Linked DNA regions of Coturnix japonica. The protein of the gene in region 2 interacts with the protein of the main gene of each other region in a pairwise test. Links are inferred from orthologs where the notes say so. Each region holds a gene or a part of one and is shown on either strand. Other genes may lie near its edges.

Region 1 (10,249 bases), on a different chromosome or scaffold from region 2:
GTGGGGAACATCCCCAGCGGGTGAGTGGGGCTGGGTGGCAAGGGCAGCTGTGCTGGGGCACCATGGTACCCACAAGGCCCCCTCCTGAACCCCATCTTCCTGCCTTGGACATAGGTTGAAGCCGCCTGTGGTCCCTAATGCCAGCTACTTTGGACAGGTGGTGGGCAATGCCTTCGCCATCGCTGTGGTGGGTTACGCTATCTGCATCTCCCTGGGTAAAATCTTTGCCCTGAAGCATGGCTACAAAGTGGATAGCAACCAGGTGATGCTCTGACACATGCAGCCCCTTCCTCTGTAGTGTTTCACAGCTCACAGCCCCAGGATGCATGGTGCTGCCTGACAGCTTCTCTGTCCTTGCAGGAGCTGATTGCTCTGGGCCTCTCCAACTTCCTGGGGGGCTTCTTCCAGTGTTTTGCCATCAGCTGCTCAATGTCACGAAGTCTGGTGCAGGAGAGCACAGGGGGAAACAGCCAGGTGGGTGTGGGTGGGTGCCTGCCTCTGCTCTTTAAAATTCCTTCCAATATCCCCATGCTAAGGTGTCAACATGGGGAGACACGAGCTGGGGCAAGGAGAACATCCAGGTTCACTCCATCTCTCCCCTCAGGTGGCTGGTGTCATCTCTTCCCTGGTCATCCTGGTAACCATCCTGAAGATTGGAGAGCTCTTCCATGACCTGCCCAAGGTGCAGCCAGTTCTACAGCCTCCACTTCACTTCCCAGTCTTTCACCTCCAGTATAAAGGCAGCACAGGGAGGGGGATGCTCTATTTGGGGTGGGAAATGACTGGAGGCAGCCTTGGATACGGGGCACAGTGAAATGCCCCCCAGATGTGTCCTTGGCACTATCATGCATACAGACTTCTCTTGTAGGCCATCTTGTCTGCCATCATCATCGTCAATCTCAAGGGCATGTTCAAGCAGTTCAAGGACCTCCACACACTCTGGAAGTCCAACCGTGTGGACTTGGTAGGGCATTGATTGGCCCTGAGGGAGTTCCTTAACCCTCCACGGGGCTTATGGTGCCATGGGACTAGGCCATGCCCCAGCTGACTGTGCCCTCTCTAGATGGTCTGGGTGGTGACTTTCATAGCCACGCTCTTGCTGAACCTGGACATTGGCCTGGGAGCCTCAGTGGCCTTCGCATTGCTCACTGTCATCTTCCGGACCCAGCTGTGAGTACCCTCAGGCTGGGCTGGGTACAAGGGAGATGTGGTGCTTGGGGACAACGTGGACATTTGTACTAACTCCCAAGGCTGACACTAGGATGTCCCTGGTGTGGGGTAGTGAAGTGTTGGGGACCTGGTACTGTTTCCCAAGGGCAGAGGAAGCCCACAGGAACACCCTGTTGCTCTGCTCCCCACAGCCCCCACTATTCCATCCTGGGACGTGTCACTGACACCAATGTCTACAAGGACGTGGCTGAATATGAGAAGGTAAAAGCACTGAGGTGTTGGCATGGTAAGAGAAGAAGCACCCACAGGAGGTGGGAGCAATTAAAAGCACCCCATGGTATTTTAAGGGAGGGCAAGAAGGAGCACATCTCTGTCCATAGGGTAACACACCCTCTCCATCCATCCCCAGGCAGAGGAAGTCCCTGGAATAAAGATCTTCCGCTCCTCCTCCACCATCTATTTTGCCAACGTGGAGCTGTACTCCGATGCACTGAAGAAGAAGGTAGGAAAATCTGCCCTGAGCACAGCAGGCAGGGCACAACACTCAGGTCCCTGTGGCCTGCCAGGGGAGATGTGGTCCAGGACATCAAGGCTGGCTTAGCAGCAGCATGGTGTCCCTCACATATTTCCATGGCATCACTGGGCCTCCTAGGCTCTGCCCCTCTTCCTGACGGCCATGGGGCTGTATGGGTTTGCAGAGTGGCATCAATGTGGATCGCCTGATTGAGAAGAAAAAGAAAGCACTCAAGAAACTGAAGAAACAGCAGAAGAAAGCAGAGAAGGAGAAGGCAAAGAGGAAAAAGGTGCTTCCCAGCACATCCCTCTCGTGCTGTCCCACACCATTTCCCTGCCCGGCCATAGCCTTCTGCTCATGCTAGGCATCCCATGGGGCTCCCAGTTTGGCCCACAGCCACCAGACAGGGAGAGGCATTGGCATGCATCTGGGTTAACAACATCACCTTTAACGTCAGTGGAGGAGGCTGCAGTCATTAATGATTAGGTGGGGGAGCTGGTGAGTCATTCATAGTCTGGGGCAAGTTAATCATCAAAATGAAGCACAAGAGCAAAGGCTGACTGGGGAGAGGAGTCTAATGAGGCCAGTTCCAATCATTGGGGAGAGCTCACAAGGTGACCTGGAAAGAACCTAGAAGTGGGACTTGGGTGTGAGCAAAGTGCCCACTCCTGGCACATCCACCACCATAACACAACTAGAACCCCTCCAAACCCCAGTGCGCTATGGGGCAGGACAAACCCAGGGTCCTGGGGAGACAATGCCCTGCAGAGTGCCACCAGCACCCACATGGCGAAGGGGTTTTCACACAGGACACAGAGGCTGAGTGCAATGGGCCAGGACTTGCAGTGATTGAGCTGAGTGAGGAGGAGGATAGAGCACCTGCTGAACCCACCCTGCGCTCCCTGGGGCTGCCCCAGCCTGACTTCCATGCTGTCATCCTGGACTTCAGCCCCGTCAACTTCGTGGACACAGTCTCCATCAAAATCCTGAAGAACGTAAGGGCTCAGGGGTGGTGCAGGAGTGGGACAGCCAGATGGCAGCCGCTCATCCCTTTACCCTGACATGATTTTTACCATTTACAGATCTTCAGGGATTTCCATGAAATAGAAGTGGACGTCTTTGTTGCCTGCTGCCCAGGTGAGGAGAAACCATAGAGCTATCAGCCCCTGTAGGGAATAGCCACCCCTGTGAGACACGGCTGCTGGTCATGGGGCTTCTGTGCCCTCTGTGGTGTCCCCTACCCCATATTCTCCCCAGAGGACAGCAGTTGCAGGAGCACATCATGGGGTGCCAGGCTGTCCCCATTGGCTGCACATTGCTCTGGCATCCCAGTGTGAGCTCTGCAATACTGGCTGTCCAGTGATGTCCTGGGCAGGGGGTGGGACGCTTGTTTGGGTGGAGGCCAGCTGCCATAGCTTTAAGTGCTTCTTTCTCCCTCTGTGCAGCGTCTGTTCTTGCCCAGCTGGAGCGGGGCAACTTCTTCAGCTCCACCATCACCAAGCACTGCTTCTTCCCGTCGGTGAATGACGCTGTGCTCCACATCAATGCTCCATCGGTGCGCCCAGCCTCGGTAAGCACCCAGCCTCACCATCCCCACCGCCAACACGTTGTGGGACGGCACGAGCCGACTTTCCTCTCTGCCCCCTTTAGGAGAACCGCAGCACCAAAATGTAGCCCTGCAGAAGAGACGACTGAGCAGCGGGGCCGTGCCGCTGGGAGGGCTCCACCACCACCTGCCCGGGGCCTGGAGCCTCTGCGGGACGGGATGGGGGGCTGGGAGCCGATCTGCCCCGTGTTTGGGGCGAGGAGCCCGGCAGCGGAGGGCTGTGATGCCGGCAGCGGGCTGTCACCGCGGCGAGAGCCCAAAGAGCACAGCGCGGTTTCCTCAATAAAGGCATTCTCAGCCAATTAAGCCTCATCTGTGCAAAGGGCGGCGCTGCTGTGCCGGCTGTGTCCCGCTGTTCCCTATGGGCGGCCCCATATCACCGCACATACCCCATCCCCAGTGCCATCGTCCGGCCCCATACCGGGCACGGCGGTCCCATCCCCAAACCTTCCCGTCGTTGCGCCCTCCCACCGCAAGGTGGCGCTGCAGCGAGAAGCGCTCTGTCCTCATGTGCCTTGGGGGCGCTACGGAGCATTTTGCGCATGCGCTTCCCTCCCCTTAGCGCTCCTTCCTTCCGCCTCCCGTTTGGCGCATGCGCAGTGCAGCCCGCTCGGTCGCTGTAGGGACAAGATGGCGGCGTCCTTCGTGTGCCGGGCGGCCGGGCGGGTTTTGCTGCGGAGCCCCCATCCCTGCGTGAGTCGTTGTGTGACAGCGGGGAGACTGGGAGCTGGGAAGGATGGGTGGATGGATGGATGGGTGGGTGGGCAGCTCGGGTGTGCTGTGCGGCGGGACACGGCCTGTATCTCGGCCCGGAAGGTCACGGGGACGGGTGGGCCGCGAGGGGCTGTGGGGGCTGTGGTGACCTCATTGCAGCCTTTCAATACCTGAAGGGAACTTAATCCCAGGAGGGGAGTAAACTCTTGGAAAGGGCTGATAATAGCAGGACACGGGGAAATGGTTTTAAGTTAAAAGAGGGAAGATTTAGGTTGGATGTTAGGGGGAAGTTCTTCACTAGGAGAGTGGTTAGGCCCTGGAACAGGCTGCCCAGGGAGGTTGTGGATGCCCCGTCCTTGGAGGTGTTCAAGACCAGGTTGGACGGGGCCCTGGGCAACCTGATGTAGTAAAGGTGTATGTTTGGTGGCCCTGCCAGGCAGGGGGTTGGAACTACATGATCCTTGAGGTCCCTTCCAACCCGGGTCATTCTGTGATTCTGTGTGGTCCGTGGGGGCTGCGGGCTGTGGGTACAACAGGGCCGCTGTCATCAGCCCGGCCCAGCAGTGTGCCCTGCTGTGTGTGTGTGTGCTGGAGGCCTGTGGGGCGGAGGAGAGGTTCTGGTCGTTGTTGAGTGCTGTGAGCCTTTGTTCCAGGCGACTCTGCTGCCTCTGACAAGGAACCGTGGTACGGCCACCTACGCGCAGACACTGCAGAACATCCCTGAGACGAACGTCACCACGCTTGACAACGGGCTGCGAGTGGCTTCGGAGGAGTCCAGCCAGCCGACGTGCACGGTGAGCATCGAGTGGATTGAGACTCACTTCCCATAGTGACAAACCTGGCTTTGAACTGAAGCTTGGTGAAGACTGCCCCAGTTCTCTGTTATTCAGTCAAACTGTAGTAATACTGTGCCTAGCCTGGTTTCTTTCCAAGCTTTTGCACTGTACTGGTTTCCTGAGCTCTGCAGTGTTTGCACTGATGTAGTCCCACATGTAAGCAGTAACTGACCAGAAGTAGTTTCATCTTAGGCAAACCTGTCAATGGCTTTTGTTAAACTGCTGTGTTCAATGCTTGAATGCATACTGAAAATAGTTGCTGGTGCATGTTCCTATTCTGGGGCTACTGTTGAAGCACACTTTTTCTTGCTGTTATATATATGGCACAAGTCTTGGAACATACTGTCTGCTTGTTTATTTTCTAATATGTGTGCTTGCTATCTTTGCTGTTAGGTGGGTGTGTGGATTGGGGCGGGGAGCCGCTATGAGAATGAGAAGAACAATGGAGCTGGTTATTTCGTGGAACATCTGGCATTTAAGGTAAGACTTGGTCTGGCATAAGGCTGCATGGAGACAATGTTCCAGACGTTCACTGACATGTTAGTTCTTGCTTTGGAGGCTGCAGGTATTAATAGAGGTGTAATTGTGAATCAGAATCAATTCATCTGAATCTCAGAGGCTCTGCACGTAGTATAACAATAAACTTTAAAAGGCATCTAGTCTCTATGGTGGTCTTTGTTTGAATGTGGGGCTGTGAATGAAGACAGCTAGTATTTTTTAGTTGGTATTTCTCCTCTTAAAGGAAAAAAGTCATGAGCAATAAGTTGGACTGGTTCTCTGATGCTGCGATTCCTTACTATCCCAGCTTATTGTAACACATGTATAAAACCATGATGAAACTTGTTTCCTCAGGGTAGCAGGCAGACCTGAATCTCTATTTCAGAATCAATTTTCTGCTCCTATTCTGGTATCCTCCAAATATTGCTAGTTAAAGGACTAGAAACCTGCTTCCTGTTTTTAGTGGTGACTTGTCCATATTTACTTACACTGTTCAGCCCCTGTTGTACTTTAGCTTAGATTTTCTCCTTTCCTTTGGGTTTCATTCGGCATTTCAAAATACATTTCAGCCATTTTTTAGCTATAGTCAATAAGCCAAGTGTTAAATATTTTGCTTTCTGCACCAGCTCTTGTTTTTTACAAATCACGTGGCAGGTTTTATTGCATTAGGTTTTTACTGTTCTTTTTACTGCTTTATTTCAGCTATGTGGGGGAACTGTTCACTATCTATGTATTTCTGCATACTTTTAGGGCACAAAGAACCGTCCTTGTGCTGCCTTTGAGAAGGAAGTGGAGAGCATGGGAGCTCACTTCAATGGGTACACCTCACGTGAGCAGAGTGCCTTTTACATAAAGGCTTTGTCCAAGGACATGCCAAAAGGTAGGATGGTCAGTGGCGGAAAAAAAGCAGGTGTTTCTCCCCCACCAGTATACTTTATAGTAATTGACCAGGGAATGAGGCTGTTGCTGAGCAGTAAATTGAAGACGGTATTTGGCAGTTGGAGGGAGCACTAACCAAGAGGTGGTGCTTTAAGGCTGTAAGCTCACTTGTACCTAAAAGCAGCCTTACAAACCTCTTTTTTTTTTTGTCAGGCTGTTCTGTATTGCCAGAAGGCAGGGGGTAGGGGTTCAGTAGTGTGTAGTTGCTTTATGGAGCTAAGAAAATGCTGTTAGCAGCAGCTACTGTGTCAGAAGTGCTCAGTGCCGCTCTTGTGGATGTCACATATGCTTTGTGCTACCTATCGTGTGCAGGCTCCTCTTTGGGTCAGTTTTGTCCAGAGGAGGTGGTTTGAGTCAGAGCTATTGTTATGACTCAGTCCTACTGTAAGTGTGGACCACTCTGTAGACATCACAGACTCTCCACAATAATTCAGCTTGTTTCTACAACAGTACCTTGTTTCTGGCATGCATCACCTTCTGTATTTGTTACCTTCTGCCAACTTTCTGCTGGCAATGGTGAACTATCACAGATGCTTGGCAAGCTGGTTTAGAGATTTCTTCATCCTAAAACTGTGTTATTTGTCCCTCTCTGATGCTGTGGGAGTAGATATGTTGTGTTGCACCACCACCCCGGCACAGTCTATTTCCCTCTTGCTGTATCCCTGCTGCCTTGTTTGTTTTTGATTGCTAATGTAGCAAATATGTTGCAGTGGTAGAGCTTCTGGCTGACGTTGTGCAGAACTGTGCCCTGGAGGAGTCTCAGATCGAGAAGGAGCGTGGTGTCATCCTTCAGGAGCTAAAAGAAATGGACAATGACTTGACTAACGTTACCTTTGATTACCTTCACGCCACTGCTTTCCAGGGCACTGCACTGGCCCGCACCGTCGAGGGGACCACAGAGAACATCAAGTAAGCTATAGACTGGCTGCACTATGTGACTTGTGGGCTCAGACTTTGGGGTGCATAACTCCTGCAAGAAAACCAGTCAGAGTGTATGCAAGGAATAAGTGAGACTGTATGTGGAGGTGATATGTGCCCATGGGCTTCATAAGTCTGGACTGTGCTTTCCATCTTAGTGCTGGTAAATGTGTAATGCTGCTCATGTTCCTCTCCAGAATCAGTTTTCATGTATGATCTGATGGTGGTAGGGCTTGGCTGAACCTTTTCCCATACTTGTTGGTTTGATGCCTTTAGAGGCATTAAGAGCTAGTGGTGCTCATTAAAGCAGTGGCCTCAAGCATTCACACCTGTTAGTGTGTTGGTTTCCCTGTGACCAAGGGTTGATACTCTGGTCTGCATTTGAACTCTGTCCTTAACTCTTGACCACCTGTTTCCTTTCTCTGTGTTCCAGTATTAGAGTGCAGGGGAAAAAAGGCAGTGCAGATGTACTTCAGGAAAGTATTATTATCCCATAACTGATATAATCAACAGCATCACTTTTTCCTCTACACTGTGAATTCAGTCTCTAATCCCTCCAGCTCTGAGAAGCTGATATATTAGGTATCTCTTTGTGCTTTCTAGGCATCTGACTCGAGCAGACCTAGCTTCGTATGTTGATACTCACTTCAAGGCACCTCGTATGGTCCTGGCAGCTGCTGGAGGTAAGCCCAGATTGTTGAGACTCTAGTGATCAACCCCCTGACATGCATCTCTAATGTAAAATAAGATGATTTTGTTAAATGGAGCTCTATGAAACTTCCCTTATTGACAGGTATTTCTCACAAGGAATTGGTAGATGCAGCTAAGAAACACTTCAGTGGGGTGTCCTTTACATACAAAGAGGATGCTGTGCCTATTCTGCCACGCTGTCGTTTCACAGGGAGCGAGGTAAAGTGTTCGCATGTTCTTAGTCTTATTGTCACAATATGTTGGCTTTTAGATGGAAACAAAGTCCAGTAAGAATATGATACTATTGCTCACATTGTCTAATGGAAATACTTCATCAGAGCAATTGATTTGTCCTCAATAGAGCCTGAGGCAATTTTATTTCACTGGGATAATGTGAAGTTCTCCAGTTTGTCAACTTGGTGTAGCATCAGACTGCAGACAACATCAAAATGCTCAGTTAGCTCTTTCCTGTTCCTTGGTGACTTCCCAGATCCGTGCCAGAGACGATGCTCTGCCTGTTGCCCACATTGCTCTTGCTGTGGAGGGGCCAGGATGGGCTGATCCTGATAACGTTGTCCTCCATGTGGCTAATGCAATCATTGGACGCTATGACCGCACGTTTGGAGGTGGCAAGGTAAGAGACCTGGGAATGTGATAGGGAGAGCATGGAGTCTTTTCTGCAAGGTACTGTGGAGCCACCAGATTAAACTGCTTTATGGGAGGCTGTTCTGTTTAGCTTCCAGATTTGGTCAGAGATATGGAAAGTAGAGGTGTAATCGAGGCTAACCCAGGATAGTTTTTAAGATGTGATGCTAGGAGATGAGTTGGGCCTTTTCTGCTGTGTTTGGAAGAAGTTCAGGTGATTAATTCTGAGCAGCTTTTCCTGCCTTCATGACCTGACTGCTCAATGGTGGAAACATTATGGAGTAACCTGTAGTCTCTTGATGCAAGCCTGCCTTGCATATATAAAGCAATTGGAACTTGTATAAAGCCCCAATACTACATCCTTTCTCGTCTATAATTTGTCTTGACTGCTAACCCCTGCTACTGGGAAACCTTGTACTTGCCAATATCTCCACTTCTATACTGGTATATGTACCAGTTCCTCATCTGATGCTGGGAAGGGAAAAGATTTTGCTGTGTGGACTCCTAGGCTATTGTGTGTGGCTTTTCCAGCTGTGACTCTCATCTGTTGCCCACATGAAGGGCTTAAATTAAACTCTCCTTTGATAAGTGTTACGCTCTGTCTTGTCTGCGGTCTTTGTGAGAACAGCTCAGGGGGAAAGAATGTGAGCTCTGGGGAGGCTGTCTAGTTGAAATGGTTGATGGTATCTCCTTCCTTACAGCACCTGTCCAGCAGACTAGCTGCGCTCGCTGTGGAGCATAAACTCTGCCACAGCTTCCAGACGTTCAACACCTCCTACTCCGATACTGGCCTCTTTGGTTTTCATTTTGTCGCTGATCCTCTGTCTGTAGATGATATGATGTTTTGTGCTCAGGGCGAGTGGTAAGTACAGCTCTGGCAAAGGTTTCTGTTTAAGATCTGATCCTGTGGGAGAGTAAGCTGATGGAGGTTGTGTCTGGCCTTCAGAGTGCTGCATCTCTGCATGAATGCCTCTGTAACTTGCATTCTGGTTATGTGATCCTGTCAGTGGTTTCTATAATTGTGTCAGGATTGCTTTTGAGGATTTTAATCCCTTTGGTTTCTTCAGGTCTTTGGCTCACAGCTTCCACACATTAGCACTGAGGCTTTGACTTTTTCTGTACAAGTGAGACCATAAAGACAAGGCTCTCCTAGGTACAAAAGACATGTATCTGATGTCCCGTTAGGCTTGGGCAAAGCAGAGTTCCTGTCTTCCAAACAGTTCTGTTGTGACTGACACATGCTCTGCTATTGGAGCCATGCCAGCATTTGAGGCCTTCTGTTGGTCTTACTCTGTATGCTTATGTGCCATTAATGGATCAAGGTTGCATCTGAGCTTCAGAGCCGTGCTGTGCTGTGAATGGAGCAGATGGAGTTAGCCCTTGCCCCAGAGACGTTGCAGTTGGCAGGGGAGGAAGGGATTTAACAGCTGGAGTCCAAACAGACTCTGTATAACTGTCTTATTCTTTCAGCATCAGTTTCCATAGCAGCTTGGCATGTGTGGGAATAGCTGACACGCCTGCCTTCTCTTGTGATAGCATACCACAGACTGCTTGCTGCTGTGCCTGATAGACAAGCTAGAGTCGACACCAGAGCTGCTTAGACCTTTGTGAGTGCAACTCAGCATGTAAACTGTTGGCTGATATTCCCTGCCTATCAGCTCCAGCTCTTTCACTTGCCTCCTGCTGTTCATTGCTCTCTATTTCTTAGCTGCACTATGG
Region 2 (10,412 bases):
CTGGTAATGTAATATCACCTGGAGTGGGCAGAAGAGAGAGCAAGCCAAGGGAGATCTGGGTTTCTCTCTTTCAGCATAGGCTATCATAAAGTGATCTCTGCACTCAGCTCTGCCCTTTGCTCTTCTCTGCTCTTTGGAGCAAGAAAACAACCTGCAGCACTTGTGCCCCAAACACGGGCAAGGTCTGCATGCTGCACTGCTGACATAACCCAGCAGTGACCTGGGAGCTCTTCCTCACTCACAGTCCCACCCTGCAGCCTCCCTCACACCCCTCTTTTTTTCCCCCCTATCTTCTCCCTTTGCAGCTCCCTGCAAGTCTGATGCAGTATCTTACAGCTCCACTAACAAAATAAGGTACTACTTTTACCCCACGTGAGCCGATCAGTATTATTTTACCCTAATCCCTTCGTGGCAACGTGCCATTAACAATGACTGTGCTAGGGCAAGTTGACAAAGGCAAGAAGCCTTTCTCAGGCTCGCAGAACACCCAGCACAAGGGGATCAGAACAGCCATGAAGTGCTGGCAAATGAAGTGTTGGCAAATGAGTGCACACTAACAAAAGATTCAGTGTCAGCCATGCAAGAATGACAACAATAAAAACTGAAATGATAGAAGCTGATCGGGGATAATGCAGCACATGTTTATTTAGCAGGCCGCTGATTCTTTAATATCAGAGAGACAAATGTCTGCCAGGGGATGATTTAGAGCTGGGGCAGACTCCTAGCAAGCTCACATGAGCTTTCAGGTCCTTCCAGGGCTACGTATTGCTCTGAAATACTTGCCTTCCAACTTCTAGGCAACTCCATTTTCAACAGCCCCAACAGAAAGGATAGCAGTATCTACTCTTCTATTCCTCTACATACCATACATTTACTTCTCTTTGAAGTTATTTACCAGCTCAATGAGCTCTCTTAATTGCTTACTACATCTGGGAAGAGTTAAACGTTGGCTTACTACATCAAGACAGCCCCTTCCAAAGGCATCTGACATTAAGAAATCCTTCAGGGCTCTGCCTCAAGACATTAGTGCTGCTCATTAACCCTGCAGCAGGACTCTACAGGCCTGCACCTCCCCCTGTGGTGTTTCCCCAACTTAGCAAAGCAAGTCCTGGAGCCTTTAGCGTCGCATGGCTTCAAATTAAAAGATGCAGGTGATTGTTCAATAGATAAGCTCTTTTAAAGACATAAAATAAAGCAAACGATACCCTCTCCTGCCTAAATATACCTCAAAAGCCATCTTAGCTACCCACCTCCTTCCCTCCCAGCTGCACATCCACATAAGCACTTCCACCCCGTTACCTCAGCTTCATGTACCTGTAAATAAAGGGAAGAACTGGAGCCATGTGACATCTTCTGTACCATGCCATCTTTCTGCAAGATGCACTCCTCCAGGTGAATGACGTTGGGGTGCTGGCTCTTGATACTGCTAAGTGCCCAGAACTCACGCAGAGCTAGTTCCACGTTCTCTGGAGCATGGCACCGTATCTTTTTCACTGCCACCCGTGCAGAGGTCTTCCTGACGACTGCTTCGTACACCACACCATAACTGCCACGACCAACCTCCCGTATTAGATCGTACTTAGGCTGGCTACTCACCATCTTCAAGATCAAGGCTTCTGGGGAAGGGGGAAAAACCCACACAACTATAACTTATGAACAAGAACTGAGCTGTGTCTTCCCCCATATGGCCTGGCGTGGCAATGCCAGCTGCACCAACACCCTGCAGCGTGCAAGGAGGTCTCTGAGCATCACATTGAATGCAATGCTGTGCTCCAGTGCTGGAAGACTTCAGAAGTCACTCTTGTAAGCTTGAAGCCATAATAAGGGCTGGCTAATACATCATTTGGGTGGGACTATATGATTTCAAACACAGCTCAGCGTTCAAGAAGGCAACAATTCAAACCTAGAATTGCACTGCGCTGAGGCAGGGCTATCCCATATCCTGCTGTTCCTTTCCCTCAGTGTCTTTTGGGTTTTCCTATGCGAATAACAGGGCTGTTTCATGCTCTCCATCCACACCTGGGATATCAGAGAGTTTCTAGCTGAAACCTGCAGTTGAGGAGTAACAGGTTGAAACAGAGCTGACTTTTAAGATGACCGCATAGGTAAAGCTCGCTGTGATAACTTAACAATGGTTTTCCTTCTTCTGGCACTAAGATGAGATAGGAAGCATCACTGATCTTTTAACATCGCTATGACTTCCCAACTAGCTCCTACTGTCACAAGAAGCAGCAGAAGCACCCAGCTGACTTCGTTACTCCATAGGATATGGGGTGGAGCGATGCTCTATGAGGAAAACAACACACACAGCTCGGAATGGGGGAGGAAGAAGGGCAGCCCCACACCGTGTAGGCCCCGATGACCCCAATGCAATGGCAGCTGTGTCATACAGAACACCAGGGGAGGGCCAGGCCGGCAAGGCCGCAGTGAGAACTGCGTTTAAACGCCTTGATGGGGAAGGGAGGATCTCATCAGAGCTATTAACGAGGAGCTCGCGATTGATTCCAGTGCGGTAGGAACTATTTGTTCGGAAAAGAGAAAGAAACAGAGAGAGAAAGAAAGACAGGCATCATCAGTGCGAGGGCACCAAGCTCCGGCAAACCGAGGCCTCGCAAGGCCCCGATACAACACCCAGACCCCTCGTAGCTCTCCCACAACGCCATTATACCCCTGCCCGCCCCTCTCAACGCTCGGGAGCTCCGTGTTATGCGGTGGGACCCCGCAACACCCACCAAAGCCCCGCGTTACCTCCGCACTAAGGCCGCGCCGCCGCCGCCCGGCCGCCATCATAGGGACCGACCCCCCGAAGGCCACGCCCACTGACGCACCGCATTCTGATTGGCTGCGTGTATGTAGGCATTGGTGCTTATCTATTTCTTCTTTATCTATTTCCTCTTTATCTCTTTTTTATTTATCTCTTTTTTCGTTGCTTGGGGTGGGACAGCAAGCGAGCCTAGCTCCTCTGCTTCACTTTATCTGCGTGTCAGCGGCGCAGCTTTGCAATGACAGCCCCTTACCTATCCCTCTATTCGCCTATTTATTTACCCATCTATTTCTTCACCCATTTATTCACCTGCCCCATCATTGGCAGCGTCTCTGGGCTCCCCCGCTGTCCTCAATGGCAGCAGGGAGCAGATGGAGGTTGTGTTTACAGCGCTCGGGTTGGTTGGTTGGCAGCCGTGCCTGCATTGCTCGGAGCCAACTGGGGGTTGAGGAGGAGCCATTGGGGGCTGGGAAACCGAATGGGGCGTTCCAGCTCATCCTCTTGTGGGAATCCCCTTCATAAAGTCCAGCAGTGATGAGTTCAGTGGGCAGGGCCAGCAATGGGACAGGTGTGCATCCGGTCCCCCCCCCATTCCCTCCCTTACGGTGTGTATCTCAATGTACAAACCTCCTTGGAAGGTCTCCCAGTGCCAAAAAGGGGACAATGTTGCAAGATGTGCTTGGCTGGCTTCTGTGCTGTCACTTGGTTGACATGTGAGAGCCTTCCTGGAAGGAGCGTCTGGAACAGTCACAGGCTGCCCATGTCTGGGGGGTTCATCTGGGACAATATTAGAGCCCCTATAGCGTGCACCCACTGTGCTGTGTCCCTATGCATAAGTGTACTCATACAGCTGTGCACCCACGTATCCATGTGGTCATGCACCCATCTATCTGTGCACCCCTGTACCCTTTGTGCACCCAAGTAACCTCATTTACCCCTGTACTTGCATACTCATGCATCAATGTGCACCCATGCACCTGTGCACTCCTACAGCCCTCTATACAGATACCCCTGCTCCCATGTACCCATGCACTTGTGCCTCTGTGTGCCCATGGCTTTGTGCACCCACCACCCACTTACCGCAGCATCTCAGCACCCATCCCTTTGGCCACTTGCAGCACCTCCTACCCATTGGGCTCTATGGGGAACAGAGAAGCCACCTCACCCAACCCCGTCCTGTGACCCACAGCAGAGGTGTTATAATTATCCTCTCCCCTGCAGCTGCCAATATTTACAGGTCTCCCTGTGCACCGGCGCTGGGATTTGGAAGAACACCGTGTTTACTGGTGTGCCAGCTGACAGCCAGGCAATGTGATCAGGGCGGCTCCCAGCTGGGAGCAGTCTGGAGGGGCCACACTCCTGTTTTCCTGTTGATGTTTCTGGGTCAGGTTTTGCAAACAAGTGCAGGGCACAGCCGGGCATGTGGGATGTGCAGCATGGTGCTGCTGTGCTTGGGAACCCCCTTGCAGGCTGCTATATGGATTTTTGGGGTGCAGAGAAGCATGAGGAAGAGAGGGTGCACGCACCAAGCACATTTGCTGTATCCCCCAGGTGCTGCAGTTCAGCTAAAAAGCCATCAGCTGCCCTGCAGGTGCCTTTCACCCCACAAGAAGTTGCATTTTGAGGGTGCAAAGGGCAATGCAAACCCCCAGCCCGGTGCTTTTTCATCCTGACTCCCCAGCAGCATCGACCCCCCCCCAGTCTCTCGGTGTTCCCCAGCAGGGCCATACGGACAGCATGTCCCCAGCATGTCCCCAGCTTGTTTACTGCGGCCGCGCGCCTCGATTGTCACCGCCATGTGACAGCTGATACCTTCGGACAGCCGAGCCGACTCCACGTGATTGCTGGGCTATGGATAAAAGCTGCACGAGGGGCTCCGGCTCCAGAACTGAGATTGCTCTGAGGAGGAGCAGCAGTGCCGTACCAATGGATTTCCAGCCCAGCATCCTACGTGATGGCAGCCCCATGGAGAGCCTGGAGAAGCAGCTACTGTGCCCCATCTGCCTGGAGATGTTCAGCAAGCCTGTGGTGATCCTGCCCTGCCAGCATAACCTCTGCCGCAAGTGTGCCAACGACATCTTCCAGGTGAGATGAGGACCCCCCTGGACGTTGCCCTGCTCTGGGATGCTCTGCAGGGGCACCTGGGGACACCCCGATGTCCTTGTCCCCCTCCAGGCTGCCAACCCATACTGGCAGAGCCGGGGCAGCAGCATCATCTCAGGGGGCCGGTTCCGCTGCCCTACGTGTCGCCATGAGGTCCTGCTGGACCGCCACGGTGTCTACGGGCTGCAGAGGAACCTGCTGGTGGAGAACATCATCGACATCTACAAGCAGGAGTTCTCCAGGTTGGTCCTATGGGGACACAGGGGCAGCCACATCATTTTTGGGGGGGCGAGGAACCAGGGAGGCTGGCTTGGTGCTCCCCTCCCCACCTTTCCCTAACCCAAATCTCCACCTCACAATTGAGATCTCCATTCTCAACTCGAATCTTCACCCCCAACACAAATCTCCATCTCCCAGCCCAAACCTCCCTCCCAGCCTGTGCTGTTCTAGTCTGCGGTTGCTCTGTGGGGACAGGGGGACCCTAAGGGGGTGGCAGAAGAACGAATCCAGCCCCCATCCTGGCACCCTGCAGCTTTGGCTTTATGTTGAAGATAAGGGGTGTGAGGGACAAATCCAGGCTCTGCTTGTGACAGCAGGGAATGATAAGGGACAGGGGGACAGCCTGAGGGGTCTGACAGCATTACTTAGTGGCAGAGGTGCAGCAGGAGGGGGACAAACAGGGGGGTGATGTTTTTTAAAGGACCCAGACATGTGAGTTCATCTCCCCATTCTCCTGCCCCACTGTAAATATTGTTCCAGCTCCATGGGAACAGGGATGGAAGGCACGTGGCAGGTGGCAGCAGCCCCCGGGGGGGAGCTGGCGAACCCCCCAGTGGTGACTCAATGGCTGTCACCCCCCTGAGCTCCCTGGAGCCCCTGCCCGGGTCACGCGTTGGATGATAATAATAAATGCCAGCAGCACTCAGCTAAAATTAGGAGCTTGTGTAGCATCCCTGGAGCGTGGCCCCAACTGCTGCCATGCCTGATGACACACTGCTACAAACTGGGCTTACTGGGCATGCAGGAGGATAAGGCCAGGATCCGGTTATGGGGCAGTAGTTCTGCATTGGGTGGGGAGGTCACTGCTGTGGGGACGTCACCATGATGGGGACATGACGTCAATATGGTGGGGATGTCATTGTGCTGGGGATGTCATTGTGGTTGGGCTGCTCTCTCCAGCAGGCCGCTCAAGAAGGGGGAGCACCCCATGTGCAAGGATCATGAGGATGAGAGGATCAACATCTACTGCGTCACCTGCGAGGTCCCCACCTGCTCCATGTGCAAGGTCTTCGGTGCTCACAAGGACTGCGAAGTCGCCCCTCTGCAGAGCATCTTCCAGGGCCAGAAGGTGCAACATGGGGGGACATGGGGCCACAGTGGGGAATGGCCAGATCTGGGCGATGTGCTGAGCTAGGGTGGCTGCAAATAGCATTGGGATGCCTCATGGGGTATTAATAGGCAGCAGGCTGACTTTGACCAGGAGACAGGCCTATATTTAGTGCGATGCCCCCCCCTCTCAGCCTGTGGGATGGGGGCTGGATCGTGATACCCTGGCAGCACCCATCTGTGCCCTGCAGGGGTTAAAGCTGCTTCTGTCCATCTGTCCCTTCCCAGAGCGAGCTGAACAACTGCATTTCCATGCTAGTAGCGGGGAACGACCGCATCCAGACCATCATTTCCCAGCTGGAAGATTCCTGCCGCAGCACTGAGGTGAGGGACATGGAAACATCCCCCCAGAAACCAAGTGCTGGGGGAGGCAGCCCCTGAGCAGAGGACACAGGGGCTGGAAGGACACATCTTTGTCCCCATAGGAGAACAGCGAGGCGGCCAAGCAAGAGCTCTGCTCACGTTTTGATGCGTTTATGGCTCTGCTGGAGGAGAAGAAGACGGAGCTACTGGGACGCATCACCCGTGAGCAGGAGGACAAGACAGGCTTTGTGCAGGGCCTCATCCACAAGTACAAGGAGCAGCTGGAGAAGTCCAGCCGGCTGGTGGAGACGGCCATCCAGGCCATGGAGGAGACCGGCGGGGCCGCCTTCCTCATGGTGAGACCCCCAACCCCTAAAGCCCTTGCTTCCTATTGGGAGTCTGTTGTGCCACGTCCTGGTGGCACAGGGACATGCTGGGTGTTGCTACTCTGCCATCCTCACCTTTCCTCTTACTTCCACAGAATGCCAAGCAGCTCATTAAAACGTAAGTGCCCGAACTGGGGAAAGCTGTGGGATCCCCATCCCCTGCCAGATGTGGGTCATATGGCTCTGCTCTATGCTTGGGGCTGTGGGATCAATGCTGTGCTCCCTCCCCCAGCATTGTGGAAGCCTCTAAGGGTGGCAAGCTGGAGAAGATCGAGCAAGGCTATGAGAGCATGGACGCCTTCACAGTCAGTCTTGAGCACCTCGCCGATGCTGTCCGCGCCCTCGACTTTGAGCCAGGTAATTCCACCCCAAAAAACCCTTTGGGATCTGACAATGAAGGTCCTTCAGCAGCTGCCCCTCACTGACATCCGGTGCCTGTTTACAGATGAAGAAGATGAGTTCTATGAAGAGGTGGAAGAAGATACAGGAGACACAGAACCCGAAAGGGTGGTGGCAGGTAGGGCCAGCCCTCTCTGTGCCGGCACCAGCAGCATCACAGCGGAAACCCCACAGACAGAGGGGATGACAGAGGATTGATGAAGTCCCACTCACTGCCCTCTCCCTCTGCAGCCCCCCAGTAGGACACAGGATGTCCAGGACAGAACCTGGGGACACACTGACGGGGCCGGCCATCCAGCTCCAGTACAGGACACTTTTCTATACGGGTGCCAAGAGGACTATTCCGCACGTTTTATATGTTCCTTGTTTTGTATATAATTGTAATGGAGTTGTGTATTTTGTACAGAAAACTGGTGCTCTGGCTTTTGTTTTCTTTTCCTCTCTCACCTCTCGTTTTCTCACCCTGTGATGGGTTTGGGGATGTGGGAGTGTTCTCTGCTATGGGATCAGTGCCCAATTCTCAGCCTAATTAACACCTCTGGTGGCCTTGGCACCTCATGCTGGCTGTGCTCCCGGGATGTGACAGGTCAGCACCCAGCAGGATTTATCCCAGTGCTTACCCGGCCTCGGGGACATGGGGTGACGGTGCTCCAAACTCTGCCAGCCCCAAAAGGGGACAGCATGGAGCTGAGCTCACATGGGTCCAAAATCACAGCACAGTCGGGTTCTTCTGTGCCAACATAAACCCAGCTCAGGGTTGAGGGTAAACTGAGGCAGTGCTGAAAGCAGAGCCCAGAGCTGGAGTCAGCCCCACAGCAATCAGTGCTGCTCCTGGGGGCAGTGGGGTGCAGTCACTGCTATGGGGGTGTCCAACCACAAACTGGGGGGGGGGGGGTTGTTCCCATGGTGGGGAGGGGGTGCACCAATGCAGCTCTGTCCTTAAGGGATGCAGCCACATCCTGCATGCAGGTTAAGATGTGCTTCTGTGTGATACACATGGGGATGCCCAGAGCAGCCCCTCCGTGACCCCGAGAGCCCCCCGGCTGCGGGCTGCGGCACGGCCAGCGTGGGGCGAGGCTCAGCAAGCGATTTGCAGCCGGCTTGGCCCTCCTCCCCCCGGCCTTGCTTTGCACACGGGTCCCGGTGCTTCACACGGCCGCGGTCACAGCTGCCACCAGCTCCGGACCCGCATCGGGGTCAGCAGCGCCGGACCCCGCAGGATGGCAGCGGGCGGAGGGGAGAAGCAGCAGCTGCTGGGCGAGGGAGTGGGCAGGTAAGAGGGTGAATGGGGGGGGGGCTGGAAACCTGCGTGCACCCCTCTCCTCACTGTGCTCCCGGATGGGGTCTGCCAAAGCCATCTGTTTAGGGAGAGGATCTGGGGAAGGGGACACGTCGGAGCAGGGCTAAATGCAAAGAGCGGGCTGCAAATCCCTTCCTCCCTCCCCCATGTCCCCCAACCGGGTGCCCCGATGTCACCTTTCCCTGCAGGTCCTACTTGGGGATGGTACAGAAGCACACAGCCGGCTCAGCGCAGGGCCAGGCGCCCACCCTGGAGCTGAGGGCACGGCACCGCCGGCACTGCCATGCAAGGGGGGCTGATAGCGACCCCCACCAGCAGCAGCGGGCACGCAGGAAGCTCTATGTGGCTGCTGGCATCTGCCTCATCTTCATGGTGGGGGAAGCTGTGGGTGAGTGAACGCTGGGTGAACACATTGCCCTGCATGGCCCCTCTTGTCTCATTCTGTGCTGTGGGTGCAGGCGTGGGGCAGGCAGGGCACCTCGTTTTGCCATGGGATGCCCATATGCTTGGATCTGGATGGGGATCCCCCATCCATACCACAGGTGGGTACCTGGCACACAGCCTGGCCATCCTGACGGACGCTGCCCACCTCCTGACGGACTTTGCCAGCATCATGATCAGCCTCTTTGCCCTCTGGGTGTCCTCACGTCCCGCCACCAAAACCATGAACTTTGGCTGGCACCGGGCAGGTAACCTCAGGATCCAGCTACAGCCCCATTGTGTGCCATCCCTATGGCACAATGACATGGAGGGCTGTCTGCAGAGATCCTGGGGGCCCTGCTCTCTGTGCTGTCCATCTGGGTGGTGACGGGTGTCCTGGTGTACCTGGCGGCCCAACGCCTGCTCTTGGGTGACTACGACATTGAAGGCAGTGTCATGCTCATCACCTCTGCCTGCGCCGTGGCCGTCAATATTGTGTATGTATGATGTGCTGTCAACCCCTGGGCAGGAGATTGGTGGCTGGGGAAGTCACTGCTGCCCTGCCTGCAGGATGGGGGTGGCTCTGCACCAAACAGGCCATGGGCACAGCCATGGAGGGGCTCATGAGCAGCCCCACACCCACGAACAGCCCAATGCCAGCGTCCGTGCTGCCTTCGTCCACGTGGTGGGGGATCTGCTGCAGAGCGTCGGCGTCCTCATTGCATCCTACATCATCTTCTTTAAGGTATGGAGGGGAGGGAGATATGGGGGACATAGTCTTGTCCAGCCATGAGGTGAGATGGGGTTGATTGTTAATGGGGATTTGGCTGCACTTGTTGGGGTTTCACCTGCTTCCACCCCTCCCAGCCTGAGTACAAGTTTGTGGACCCCATCTGCACCTTCCTCTTCTCCGTTCTGGTGCTGGGGACAACGCTGACCATCCTTCGTGACGTCCTCCTCGTCCTCATGGAGGGTAGGGAGCCCCCCAGAGTGGTGATATGTACCCCCCTCCCATAAGTGCCTTATCCCCATCCCACCCCGTGTCCCTCCAGGCACCCCCAGGGGGATGGACTTCAACGCGGTGCGGGACACTCTGCTGGCGGTGGGCGGCGTGGAGGCGGTGCACAGCCTGCACATCTGGGCGCTGACAGCCTCGCAGCCGCTGCTCTCTGTGCACATCGCCATCAGTGAGTGCTGAGGGATGCAGGGCCGGGGAATGGGATATGGGGGTTCCTCCGGCCCCCAACAACCCTCCGGGCTCCTTGTAGATGCGGATGCCGACTCGCAGGAGGTGCTGGAGGAGGCCAGCTCCAGGTTGCAGCGTGCCTTTCGCTTCCACACCACCACCATC
Region 3 (10,362 bases), on a different chromosome or scaffold from region 2:
AGCCGGGACCCCGTGTCCCAAGGACCCACCCGCGGTGTCTCCGCGGACAGTCCCGCATCGCCCCGCGGCCCGGAGCCGCCCCTTACCTTTGTGCCCGCCGAAGGCTCCGTACCACGAGAGCGAGAGCAGGGCGCAGAGGCAGCCGAGCAGCAGCGTGAGCGCCGTGCCGCTGCGGAGCCTCATCGCCTCCTCCCCCGCATGGCCCGAACGCGGCGCGGCCTCGGCGGCCCCGGGGGCCCCGCAGTGCGCGGAGCGGGGCGAGCCGCCACAACGGCCGCATGCGGGGACCGCGCCGTGCGGGGCGGGGCGGGGCGGGAGGGGCGGGGACGGGACGGGAGCGGGCGGAGAGCGCCCCCGTGTGGCGGAATGCGGCACTGCAGCGCTGTGTGCGCTACATGCGGGGACATGTTAGTGTGTGCGTGTACCTGGGTGCTCGTCTGCGTGCCTTTGGTTTGCATGTATGAAGGCAGATATCTCTGTACTCGGCTTATACACATAGAAACAGGAACACTCGACACAGTGTCCACCTTCCAGCTGGCCAGCACAGAAGATATCAGATATAAAAGGGTTGGAAATGCAGAGCACTGCAGGCTCCCAGAGCAAAACGAGAGCACAACTTTTATCCCTTGTGACGTTCGTATTAATGGCAAAGCTCACATTGACTCCTACAGGCCCTCCCTGCCCCCACAACAGCATTGGCTTTGTTTTGTCATTCCTTTTTTGTTTTGTTAAGGAAAGTTTGAATTGTGAGCTGCAAACACACAAAACCCAAACAGCGAACACACAAAACCCAAACAGCAAACACAGCCCGTCAAACACAGCCCAACAAACAGCCCAACAAACACAGCCCAACAAACACAGCCCAACAAATACAGCCCGTCAAACACAGCCCAACAAACACAGCCCAACAAACACAGCCCAACAAACACAGCCCAGTGACCTTCGTCCCGTCGGTGCTGGCAGCACTGAGCGTGTTGCAGGAGCTCGGGCTGCACACTGAGCACACAGACAGCAGCCCATAACTAAAGGCCATTACAGACAATAGGAGAAAGGCGTGTTAGGCCCACAGATAGAATGCAGTGCAGACTGAGAGCTGATTTTGCCCAGTTCTCTGAAGAGCTGTTCACCCCCAGCTGCTCTGCATCAGCACAGCGCTGTTACATCAGCAATGAAGTCACCTCACTGCCTGGTGCCCACAGGCTGCTGTATTCAGACATTCCTGCCTCTCATGTGGGGCAAAAGTCACAAATCTCACTGTGAGCACAGCACTCACTGCAGGCAATGAATGTAGGTAGGAAAAAGTGCCACCTCACCTGTGCAAACACGGAGCTCCGATGTGCTCCCATAGCACAGATGTGTGCTGTGCTCTGTGCTTCCCATCCGCACATTGTGCCCACCTTCCTCACTCTCTGTCCGTGTCTTCCTCCCTTAAAAACAAATGCTGTGTCACACCAGTGACAAATGGTGCTGATCCCATGTAACCACCACCAGGTTCAAGAAATCCAAACCTCAAAATGAGGCAGCAAAAAGACAGCTCGGCTTCCCCTTCCACCCACACAGCTTTCCAAAGCAACGTGTCTGAATATGATCCTACCACCAAAAAAGGGATGTACTTCTGTATTAATGCACGTACACCTATTAATGTATGCGTATACGTGTATGTGTAAGCATGCATTTGTGACACCCTGGGGGCAGGATGGATGCAAGGTGTTATGATGGTGATTGGATGCCAGGAGCTGCCCCATGCAGCTCTCTGTGCCCTGGTGTGGCTGAAGGAGGCACGGTGGTGGTGGGGCAGCCCTTCTGCAGGGCTGGAGGAGGAAGTAGTCACGGGACGGGGTGAGTCACCAGCATCTGACCTGGTACATCCGGAGGATCCCTCTCCAGAAGCCTCTGGAAAGCACCAGCACCTGCTCTCTGCAGCTCTGCACAAGGGCAAACCCTCCCAGCCCAGCTGCAGCCCCTTGGGTGGTGATTTGGATAATGATTCCCTCTGCAGAACCTCCTGCAGCCTCTGTTGTGGTCCGTGAGCACAGGAGCAGCATCCCAGCAGGGCTTTGCTGTGACAGTGCAGAGCTTGGGTAGAAGGAGCACTACTGACGACTGAGCCTTTGGAGCAGCAATCTCAGCAAACGTTTGCAAACAGTTTCCAGCAGAAGGTGGGTGGAGGGAGGAAGCAGAGCTGCGGGGCTGCTGAATGCTCCTTTCTGAGCCCTCCCTCTGCAACTTGGAGTCGTGAAACTGGAACAGTTTTATTCCCATCCTCTTTGCTGTCCTCCTGCTCCGTCCATCTGGGGAGCTGCTCATAAGCCGGGGCTGACAAGTGGTTTTTTGAGCAAGGGTTGTTCTATGGATGGAATGTGGTTCCTAAAGAAGAGCAAGAAAACATTCAGTGCTGCCAGATAAATTCCAGGCCTGGGTCCTCCAGGTTAATACAGGCTCAGGTTAACAAGAGCTTAAGCCAAATCTCAGGCTGCAGAGCAGTGTGCAGTTGGGGTTGGTGGGGAGACATCTGTCTGTCCGTCCGGCTGTGGGATGGGAGGATGCAGTGAGTGCCATTGGAATACATGGGAGCACGGCAGGGCCGAAGCACCAGGCCACGGGGAAACACCAGAGTCAGGGCCTGGAGGAGGAAATCCCCACCTCGAGGAGGAGCAGGGAATGCTGAGTCACCCCGTCCCGTGACTGAGCTGAGCTCACTGCTCACCGCAGGCCTTGTTTGCTTTGTGCTTTGAGAAAGTGAATGATGTCACGGCCAGAGAGCCCAGCGTGACTCAGCAGGCAGCTGAGATGGGACGCTCTCCATGTTTACTGGATGGAAGTGCCCATGGAGGAGAGCAAGGACTCATGTTGATGCCTGGCTGTGGCTCACACCAAGCTCTCACTTGTCACCTCATGCTGCACGAGTGCCACGTCCCAGGAGCGTGCTGTGATCCCAGAGCAGCCACATGTGCACCAAGGGCACATCCACACGGCAGGCCGTGTTGTGGCACACACAACCCATCGTGGGGGGACGCTCACCCTGCAGTGCAGCACAGCATGGCTTACACACTGTGATTGCCTCAGCCCAAGGTGGGCAGCCAGGCTGTGGGCTGGAGGGAATCAGTGCTACAGAGCTGAGGCAAAGGGGTTGCTCCAAAAGTAATGCCTCCCATTTGCAGGTGGGATGGCAGCAGAGGGTGAAGGAGCCAACAGCTGCTGAGTGTTATGGAGCCCAACGAGTGGGTGAGCACAGCACTGTGAGCACAGCACTGTGAGCACGGCATGGCCGTGTGTTTCACAGTCACCTGTAGAGCAGCATGCAGCCTCGTGTTCACCACTGATGACAATGCACAGCACAGTGGTGGTGACCGCGTTGAAAAACAGTGCTTTGTAGCTGAGAACCTGCTCTGTCAAACAGCGTCACTGTGATCTCTGTAGCTGTTGTAGTTTCCATGCAGATAAATAGGAGGCATTACTTTCGGGGCGAATATGGGCTCTGTATTTCCAGGCGGCGGGGCGGTGCCTAATGGCAGTGGTCGTGGTTTAACCCAGGGCTGTGCCCACCCCGGCCCGTCCCCCCGCTCTATAAGGCTCGGTGCCGCCGCTCCCTCCCGCAGCACCGCCCGCCCCGCGCCGCCTCCCGCCGCTCGTTGTCCCGCAGCAATTCGTGCTGCGCCACAGCCATGGCGGCGCTGACGGTGAAGGCCTACCTGCTGGGCAAGGACGACGCGGCCCGCGAGATCCGCCGCTTCTCGCTCATTGCTCCCGTCCGCTACCAGCCCGTCCACGACCGCGTCGCCGAGCTCTTCCAGGGGCTGCTGCGGGCCGGGCCGCCGCCCGCGTTCCGTATGCATTACAAGGGTGAGCGGGGCGGGGGGGCTCGCTGTGGGTCGGGGCCCCCTTCGTTGTCCGGGAGGTGGGTGCGGGCCGAGCGCCTGACGGTGTGCTCTGCTCTGTCCAGATGAAGACGGGGACCTGATCGCGTTCTCCACCGACGAGGAGCTGGATATGGCCATGCCTTACGTGCAGGACGGGGTCTTCCGTGTGTACATCAAAGGTAACGCCCCGCAGCCCGGTGGCACCGAGCGCTCTGTGCTGCTGGCACGGCTCCGAGACCGGGAAAATCCCGGTCCTGTCCCTCATCCTCGTGCTGCAGCTCAGAGGGGAGGTTACATAAAGGGCGAGGTAAAGACGGGCACAGACCCACTGTGTGCAGGGGTTCCTCCTGGCTCCGGGGCCTGGGTTGGCACAGTGAGCGCTGCAGTGTTCAGGATGGTCCTAGGAACCCCCTGCCGTACTGCCAGCAGGTGCCATGACATGTAAAGAAACCCCAAAACCAGCTTATTCCTAAGCACATCATTCCCCAGTCCGCTCTGTTCACTTGGACACCTACAAAGCTTTATCTGTAGGCTGTGATGTGAGTAGTGTAGGCCGCCCTTCTTGTCTCAGTTCTCACCTGCAGTGTCCCCTGGCACTGCTCAGCTCTGTTCAGAAACATTCTCTTCTCGCAGCACTCCACAAGGTAGGAGGATGCTCCAGGCAGGGTGGTGCAGCACTGATCTAAAACAAAGTGTTTGAAGAGCGGGTATCCTTGAACCACCCCTTTGCACTTGGTTTATGTTCTTATGTGCCCCCAGCTTGTGTTTGGCAGCCAGTGTAAAAATAAACTGCCCTAGTAAGTCAATACTGCTGTGACAAGGGCTGTTTGTGTTTCCTTCCCCTCTGCCCGATTTCCAGCCTTTAAATAGTACCCTCGTTCTTGATGCAAAGATCCCTTTCCTTAATAGAGAAAAAGGAGTGCAGGCGTGAACATCGCTCCCAGTGCAGCCAGGAGCCTCCCCGGGACATGGTGCACCCCAATGTCATCTGTGACGGCTGCGAGGGGCCGGTGGTGGGCGCTCGATTTAAGTGCACCGTCTGCCCAGACTACGACCTGTGCAGCACCTGTGAGGGGAAAGGCATCCACAAGGAGCACAACATGGTGATGTTTCAGAGCCCGCTGCTGAATCCGTTTGAGGTGAGCAAAACCTATGGAGCAGAACCAACAAAAGGGATGCTGCCCAAATGTAAGCTTTAAGTTTCACCTGGTCCCATGAACGTTACCCTTTGCAGTGGATTCCCAGAGGGCGCTGGCTCCGTAAGATGCGGCATGGTGTTCCACCCTTCCCCTGGATGCACTGCTGGGGGTATCCCGCACCTGCAGCTCCGTGCCAGAACTCGGAACAAGCCCAGGCCAGTGCTGCTGCCTCCAGTCCACCCGCTGCTGGAGGTAAGAGGAGATGGTCTGCTAAAGGAGAATAGTAGTGGAGGAGCCAGAGAAGCTGGGACTTCACAGCCCAGTGTGGGATCTGGGTGGGAAAATAGACATGGGAACTAATCCAATTTGTGTGAAATAATGAGCCCTTTCCAGGACACTGGTGTGGTCTGGTGGCCACACAATATATGAGGTTATGGAGAGCCTATTTGGAACCAGACCAAGCAGAGCTATTAGGTCAAGCATGTCACTGCTCTGCTCTTAGATGTGCTTTCAGCATGGCTGATGAGCCTTAACAGTGCTAATGCCACTGGTCTTCTGTTCCAGAGGTGGTTTTGGTCTCTCTGCTGCCTTGGTGCTGTGCAGATGAGTGACACAAAACAAGCACCAAGAATTCCTGGGGATGTGCTCTTTCCCTATGGGCTGCTATGTGTACTAACACAAATTGTTCTTCTAGAAGCTTCTACTAACAGCCAGCCCCAGGACCCCAATGTCACCTTCTTAAAGAACGTTGGGGAGAGTGTGGCAGCTTTTCTGAGCCCCCTGGGTAAGTGACTTATGGTGTGTCATCCCCATCCCTGAGAATGGCTTTGCTCCCACCAGGAGCAGCAGCCAGCTGTTGTGGCTGGTACCAGAACCACTTTGTGCTACTCAGCCTCAAAAGCCTTAAGTTTCTGTGTACTAAAATTGTGTGGGTATAGGCCATCTACTCAGTACCTTTTCAGAGTCCTTTGTAAGGATCCAAGGAAGGGATTAATTATATAACCCCAAATCACCGATGATTTAAAATCATGTTACAGTGGTATTTTGCTTAGGCACACATACTTAAGGTCTGCCTTGACCCTCTAAACACATGGCCTGTCTTTTTAGTGCAGGATGACTAATTGGTGCATCAGAGCTAACTAAAAGAACGCTTTGCACTTGAATTCATACGTATTATATGGGGAGCTGTAGGGTTACAGTCATGCTGCAGCACTTAGTCCAGGATTAAAGTTTGCTTTTTTTCTTAGAACCGTGCTTTCAAAAATCTAATGGTTTTTTCTTGGTCTCAAATGTATTCCCAGGTATTGAAGTTGATATTGATGTGGAACACGGAGGACAGAGAAGCAAAGTGACTCCTGCTTCTAATCAAGAGAATAACGGTGCCGAGTCAAGCAGCAGTACTGCTAATCAGAACAGTCAGAGCAAACCATGCTGGAATAGCACAGATTCTGCAACGGTAGTAAACAATGTTACAGAGCAGATACAAGACATGGTGATAGATCCTGTGCCCACACAAATGGAAGATGGCAGCCTCCAGTCCCAGGTACAAGAAACACTGCATTAATTTAATACGCTTGCTGAGGCCTTACTGAAAAGGAAATAATTCAGTATGTGTTGAGGGACTGATGATTCAGTTGTCAGCAGATAGAGAATATATGGCACTTTGCTTTACTGGTTTACAGCAAAGGTGGGACTTGTTGTAAATGTAATTCTTCCTATTAAAAGCAGATAGTAAGAGCATGCATCCTACCTGGAAAGCACTACGGCACCTGGACCTCCTTTCTTTCCATTTCAGGCACACAGTGAGTCAAGCAGTTCATCAGGGGGTGACGAGGACTGGACCCACTTGTCTTCCAAAGAAGTGGATCCTTCCACAGGTGAACTGCAGTCTCTACAAATGCCAGAGACAGATGATCCCAGCTCCCTAGATGTAGCTCAGGAAGCTCCCCAGGCAGGACCTACAGGGCTGAGAGAGGCTGCACTCTACCCACATCTCCCACCAGGTACGAGAATGCATGCAGGTTGCACGTGAGTTAAAGTTGCTCTCACTTATTGCCAACTTGTCCAATATAAGCAAACCTGCTTAGGAACCAAGCTCACATACAGACAAGTTAAACTGTAACTTGTGCTCTGGCAGCACTCTGCATGCTGTTAGGAACAGGCATGTTCTCTGCTTGAATGGTGGCAGCAAGTCTTAAACTGGTACTAATATGCCATTTGAGCAGGATGAGAGAGGTGGCCTCTAATCAGTGTCCTTGCTGTGTACTCTTGGAGAGCCTTTTAATGCAGGCTGTAGACAATACATCCTGTAACTTAAGACACTTTTCTGGCAAGAGCTAGTTAGGAGTCTGCCAGGTCACTTAACTGAAACCACTGGCAATGAGGTTTACAGCAAGGACAGATGGATCTAACTCAGCTGCTTCCTTAGCAGGTTACATATGCTGTATCTCAAAATGTCTGCCTCATAGGATACAGAGGAAAGTGTCTTCCAGCGCTTGTCAGCTATGCTAGATCTGCTAGGATTAGTGCCAGCCCACCATGTGATACCACAGCCTTGGCTGGTTTGCTAATAATGTGAAGCGTTTTAACTTCAAACTCATTCTCTTGACAGAAGCAGACCCTCGCTTGATTGAGTCTCTGTCCCAGATGCTCTCCATGGGCTTCTCTGACGAGGGTGGATGGCTCACTCGACTCCTGCAGACAAAGAACTGTGACATCGGGGCAGCGCTAGATGCCATCCAGTATTCCAAGCAGCCTCCTAACTTGTAGTAGCCTATGTAACAAAAACCAGTTTCCTTCTAACTAAAAGAAAACTATGTGGTACAGTTAACTCTAGCAAATGCATCTTCTGTTACAGGTTTCTGTTTCATGTTCCTAAGTGCTTGTAGTGTGGAGAAAAAAATAAATACTGCCACTCTTTCACTGGTGATGAGTTTGTGGCTGTTTAATAATCATAACTGTTCTACTCTGTTAACTGGAACTTGATTATAAGTTAGGAGAAGATCCAGGCCAAGAGCACATGATTTCTATGTCAGGTGGTTCTCAGTGTAAAAGTAAGGCTAGCTCTGTGCCAGTCTGTTTCTTGCACATAACCTGGGCTCTGAGCAGACACCTCGGGGTTATTCATTTGTGAAGAGCAATCAAATGCTTGGCTCTGAAGCCTGCACCGTAGCTTTGAAAGAAAGAGTTGCTATGGGTGATGCAAACAAAGAGCTAGAACAAGGGAAAAGAGTTGCAGTTTATAGTGGGGAATTAATCACAGAACTTAACTGTACTGGTAAGATATTCTTAAAGCCTTGGAGGCATCCCTGCTCCCTCCCATCTGACCTACTTCCATTCTTACTTCTAATGTACTTGCTAGACACCACTGTGCAAACATAGCACTTGCTTCTTGGATCAGTCTTTCCCAACAAGACACAGCTAGATTGCCTTTAAACAACTTCTTTAATAATGCTCTTAAAACCACCTTCACTTCAAAATCTTGCTTCAGTATACAAGCCAAAAACAGACAGAAAAGCAATGGTGAAGATGCCCAAGTTTCTCAGAAATCATCATCAAAGTCATCACCTGTGCAGAAGAGGCGTTCACAAGAAGAGGTGTGAGGCTTGGGCCTCACAAGGGTGGGTGCAGGAGGTCTGCTACCAGTGCTGAAGTCACCAGCTCCAGCCCATAGCAGCTGACTTGGAGGTTCTTTGGCCAATGCATCCTTCTCACCTGAGCAACTGATGCTGGGCTGCACACTGCCAGGCAGTTTTAAGGCGAGTTGCTCAGTGCTAGGAATGCACTTTTTACGTTCAAAATCTGTACCTAGAGGTAGAGCACTTTGAGCCTGTTCCAAATGTGTAGTGGCCATACTTACTGCAGTGGTGCTGTGTGGTCCCAACCTTCCACTGCCATCCTGTGGTGACAAAGTGGCCATAACAGCATTTTCACTACAGTTGTTAGAACAGGAGAGATACTTTTCCCACTTGGAGGGCTTGGTACAAGCAGCTGGGGGTTGGCTGTTCTGCTGTGGCACTATGGACTCAAAGACAGCTGGCACTACACTGTCTGCAGAAACAGCATCTCCATCACCTTCATCAGGCACTTCTGTTGAACATTTCTTGCACTGTAACAAGGAAAAGAAAGAGTTTGGTTGTAAAGGCAGCACGTGTACCAAGAAACAGGCAAAGTAAGAGCACTTCTGTCCTTCAGATGCACTTAAGTTTTGACCAACAATCTGAAGCAGAGCTGAGGCTGATGCTCTGAGTGCATCTATGAACCCTGGCTGTGAAGACTCAAGCCAATTTAATTAGCAAAGCAGATAATCACAGTAACCCCAATAGCTGTGTCTTATGCAAGGTGCTGCTGCTCAATTGCAAAACAGAACTGACAACAGCTGCATTGATGGAGGAATCCGGCTCAACCACTTTTACCTTACAGCAGATGGCATCTGCTACTCCCTGACTAAAACCCTTCAGAGAGAAACTGACAATACGATTTGCTGCCTCTCCCTGCTCATTCAAATACAAGAGCAGCGGAAGACTTGTACAACTTCAAAGTTACAATGACATAAAAGAAGCCAGGAAAATACTGTTTTGTTTTACTCTTCTTACAGCCAAAAATACTCAAGAGGTTCTAACCTTTTTGGCTTGGTAGAGAAGCTGGAAAGCACCATCTTCCTCTGAGTTCTCCTGAAAATCACTGTAAAGGAAGCTCTTCTGCTTTTGCCTGACCAAAAGAACCATGTAGAAAGGTGCCTGATTAACTCTGCTGTCAGTTTTATCACAAACAAGTCACCATAAATGCTCATAAAAAGCAAACTCCCAGCAACAGAAGTCAAGCCACGCAGTTCACTGCAGCCTGTACTTCGTTCAGCTATAATGATAAAATACCTCCCAACTTGCTTTAACAAGCATTCGTCACTTAAAGGCAGGGATTACAAAAACCAAGTTCCTTCCGTTGTCATCCAAAATGGCAGCCTGTATCACTGTACCTTCGTTCTTCAACCGCATTCTTCCTCTGGGAACAGAACTGCTGCCTTGCTGTACTTCCTTCCTCCTCCCCCTCTTCTTGATCTTCACTGCCCTTGTCCAGATACTTACTCCAGCGACTGATTTCTGTCCTTTCCCCCTACAACATTGGAGAATTGCTGAAAACAGCAAAATACCAGGTTCTCAATTCTGGCACTGTCACATTGTGCTGAATGCTCCAGTGACAAGTCAGCTTAGGACACATTCCTCTATTTTGTTCCTACGTTCAGTACCCGCATAGTGCAGAGTTCCTGTATGCATCACATTCTGCCTCTCTCCTAGAGCTTGTGTTTACACTATCATCTCAGCTGCCTTAATTAATATAAAGGGATCACTGGTCCCACTTTGATT

What was found.
Region 1: the proteins of TRIM63 (region 2) and cytochrome b-c1 complex subunit 1, mitochondrial interact in a two-hybrid assay, tested with the Homo sapiens proteins (2 studies listed by BioGRID and IntAct). The link is inferred for Coturnix japonica from reciprocal best matches to the Homo sapiens genes TRIM63 and UQCRC1.
Region 3: the proteins of TRIM63 (region 2) and SQSTM1 interact in a two-hybrid assay, tested with the Homo sapiens proteins (2 studies listed by BioGRID and IntAct). The link is inferred for Coturnix japonica from reciprocal best matches to the Homo sapiens genes TRIM63 and SQSTM1.

Annotation. Positions count from the first base shown.
Region 1 is NC_029527.1:6,717,747-6,727,995, forward strand, and holds the start of cytochrome b-c1 complex subunit 1, mitochondrial, read left to right. Parts: upstream 1-3,851; 5' UTR 3,852-3,920; coding exon 3,921-3,983; intron 3,984-4,657; coding exon 4,658-4,798; intron 4,799-5,233; coding exon 5,234-5,320; intron 5,321-6,088; coding exon 6,089-6,218; intron 6,219-6,987; coding exon 6,988-7,186; intron 7,187-7,798; coding exon 7,799-7,878; intron 7,879-7,988; coding exon 7,989-8,104; intron 8,105-8,375; coding exon 8,376-8,519; intron 8,520-9,231; coding exon 9,232-9,392; intron 9,393-10,249. Other genes in the region: SLC26A6 (solute carrier family 26 member 6), read left to right, coding at 1-20, 115-262, 361-474, 605-682, 869-964, 1,064-1,170, 1,362-1,431, 1,580-1,672 and 5 more. UniProt on the Homo sapiens protein: Component of the ubiquinol-cytochrome c oxidoreductase, a multisubunit transmembrane complex that is part of the mitochondrial electron transport chain which drives oxidative phosphorylation.
Region 2 is NC_029538.1:2,857,785-2,868,196, forward strand, and holds TRIM63 (E3 ubiquitin-protein ligase TRIM63), read left to right. Parts: upstream 1-4,074; 5' UTR 4,075-4,615; coding exon 4,616-4,849; intron 4,850-4,939; coding exon 4,940-5,109; intron 5,110-6,046; coding exon 6,047-6,215; intron 6,216-6,481; coding exon 6,482-6,577; intron 6,578-6,678; coding exon 6,679-6,912; intron 6,913-7,037; coding exon 7,038-7,060; intron 7,061-7,174; coding exon 7,175-7,299; intron 7,300-7,387; coding exon 7,388-7,459; intron 7,460-7,572; coding exon 7,573-7,583; 3' UTR 7,584-7,763; downstream 7,764-10,412. Other genes in the region: serine/threonine-protein kinase PDIK1L, read right to left, coding at 1,315-1,599; SLC30A2 (zinc transporter 2), read left to right, coding at 8,562-8,614, 8,830-9,029, 9,184-9,330, 9,405-9,558, 9,632-9,806, 9,929-10,034, 10,114-10,248, 10,330-10,412. UniProt on the Homo sapiens protein: E3 ubiquitin ligase. Mediates the ubiquitination and subsequent proteasomal degradation of CKM, GMEB1 and HIBADH.
Region 3 is NC_029528.1:4,614,473-4,624,834, forward strand, and holds SQSTM1 (sequestosome-1), read left to right. Parts: upstream 1-3,588; 5' UTR 3,589-3,665; coding exon 3,666-3,843; intron 3,844-3,943; coding exon 3,944-4,039; intron 4,040-4,769; coding exon 4,770-4,999; intron 5,000-5,094; coding exon 5,095-5,251; intron 5,252-5,693; coding exon 5,694-5,783; intron 5,784-6,300; coding exon 6,301-6,542; intron 6,543-6,794; coding exon 6,795-7,002; intron 7,003-7,610; coding exon 7,611-7,768; 3' UTR 7,769-7,921; downstream 7,922-10,362. Other genes in the region: MGAT4B (alpha-1,3-mannosyl-glycoprotein 4-beta-N-acetylglucosaminyltransferase B), read right to left, coding at 87-183; MRNIP (MRN complex-interacting protein), read right to left, coding at 8,541-9,107, 9,622-9,709, 9,975-10,111. UniProt on the Homo sapiens protein: Molecular adapter required for selective macroautophagy (aggrephagy) by acting as a bridge between polyubiquitinated proteins and autophagosomes.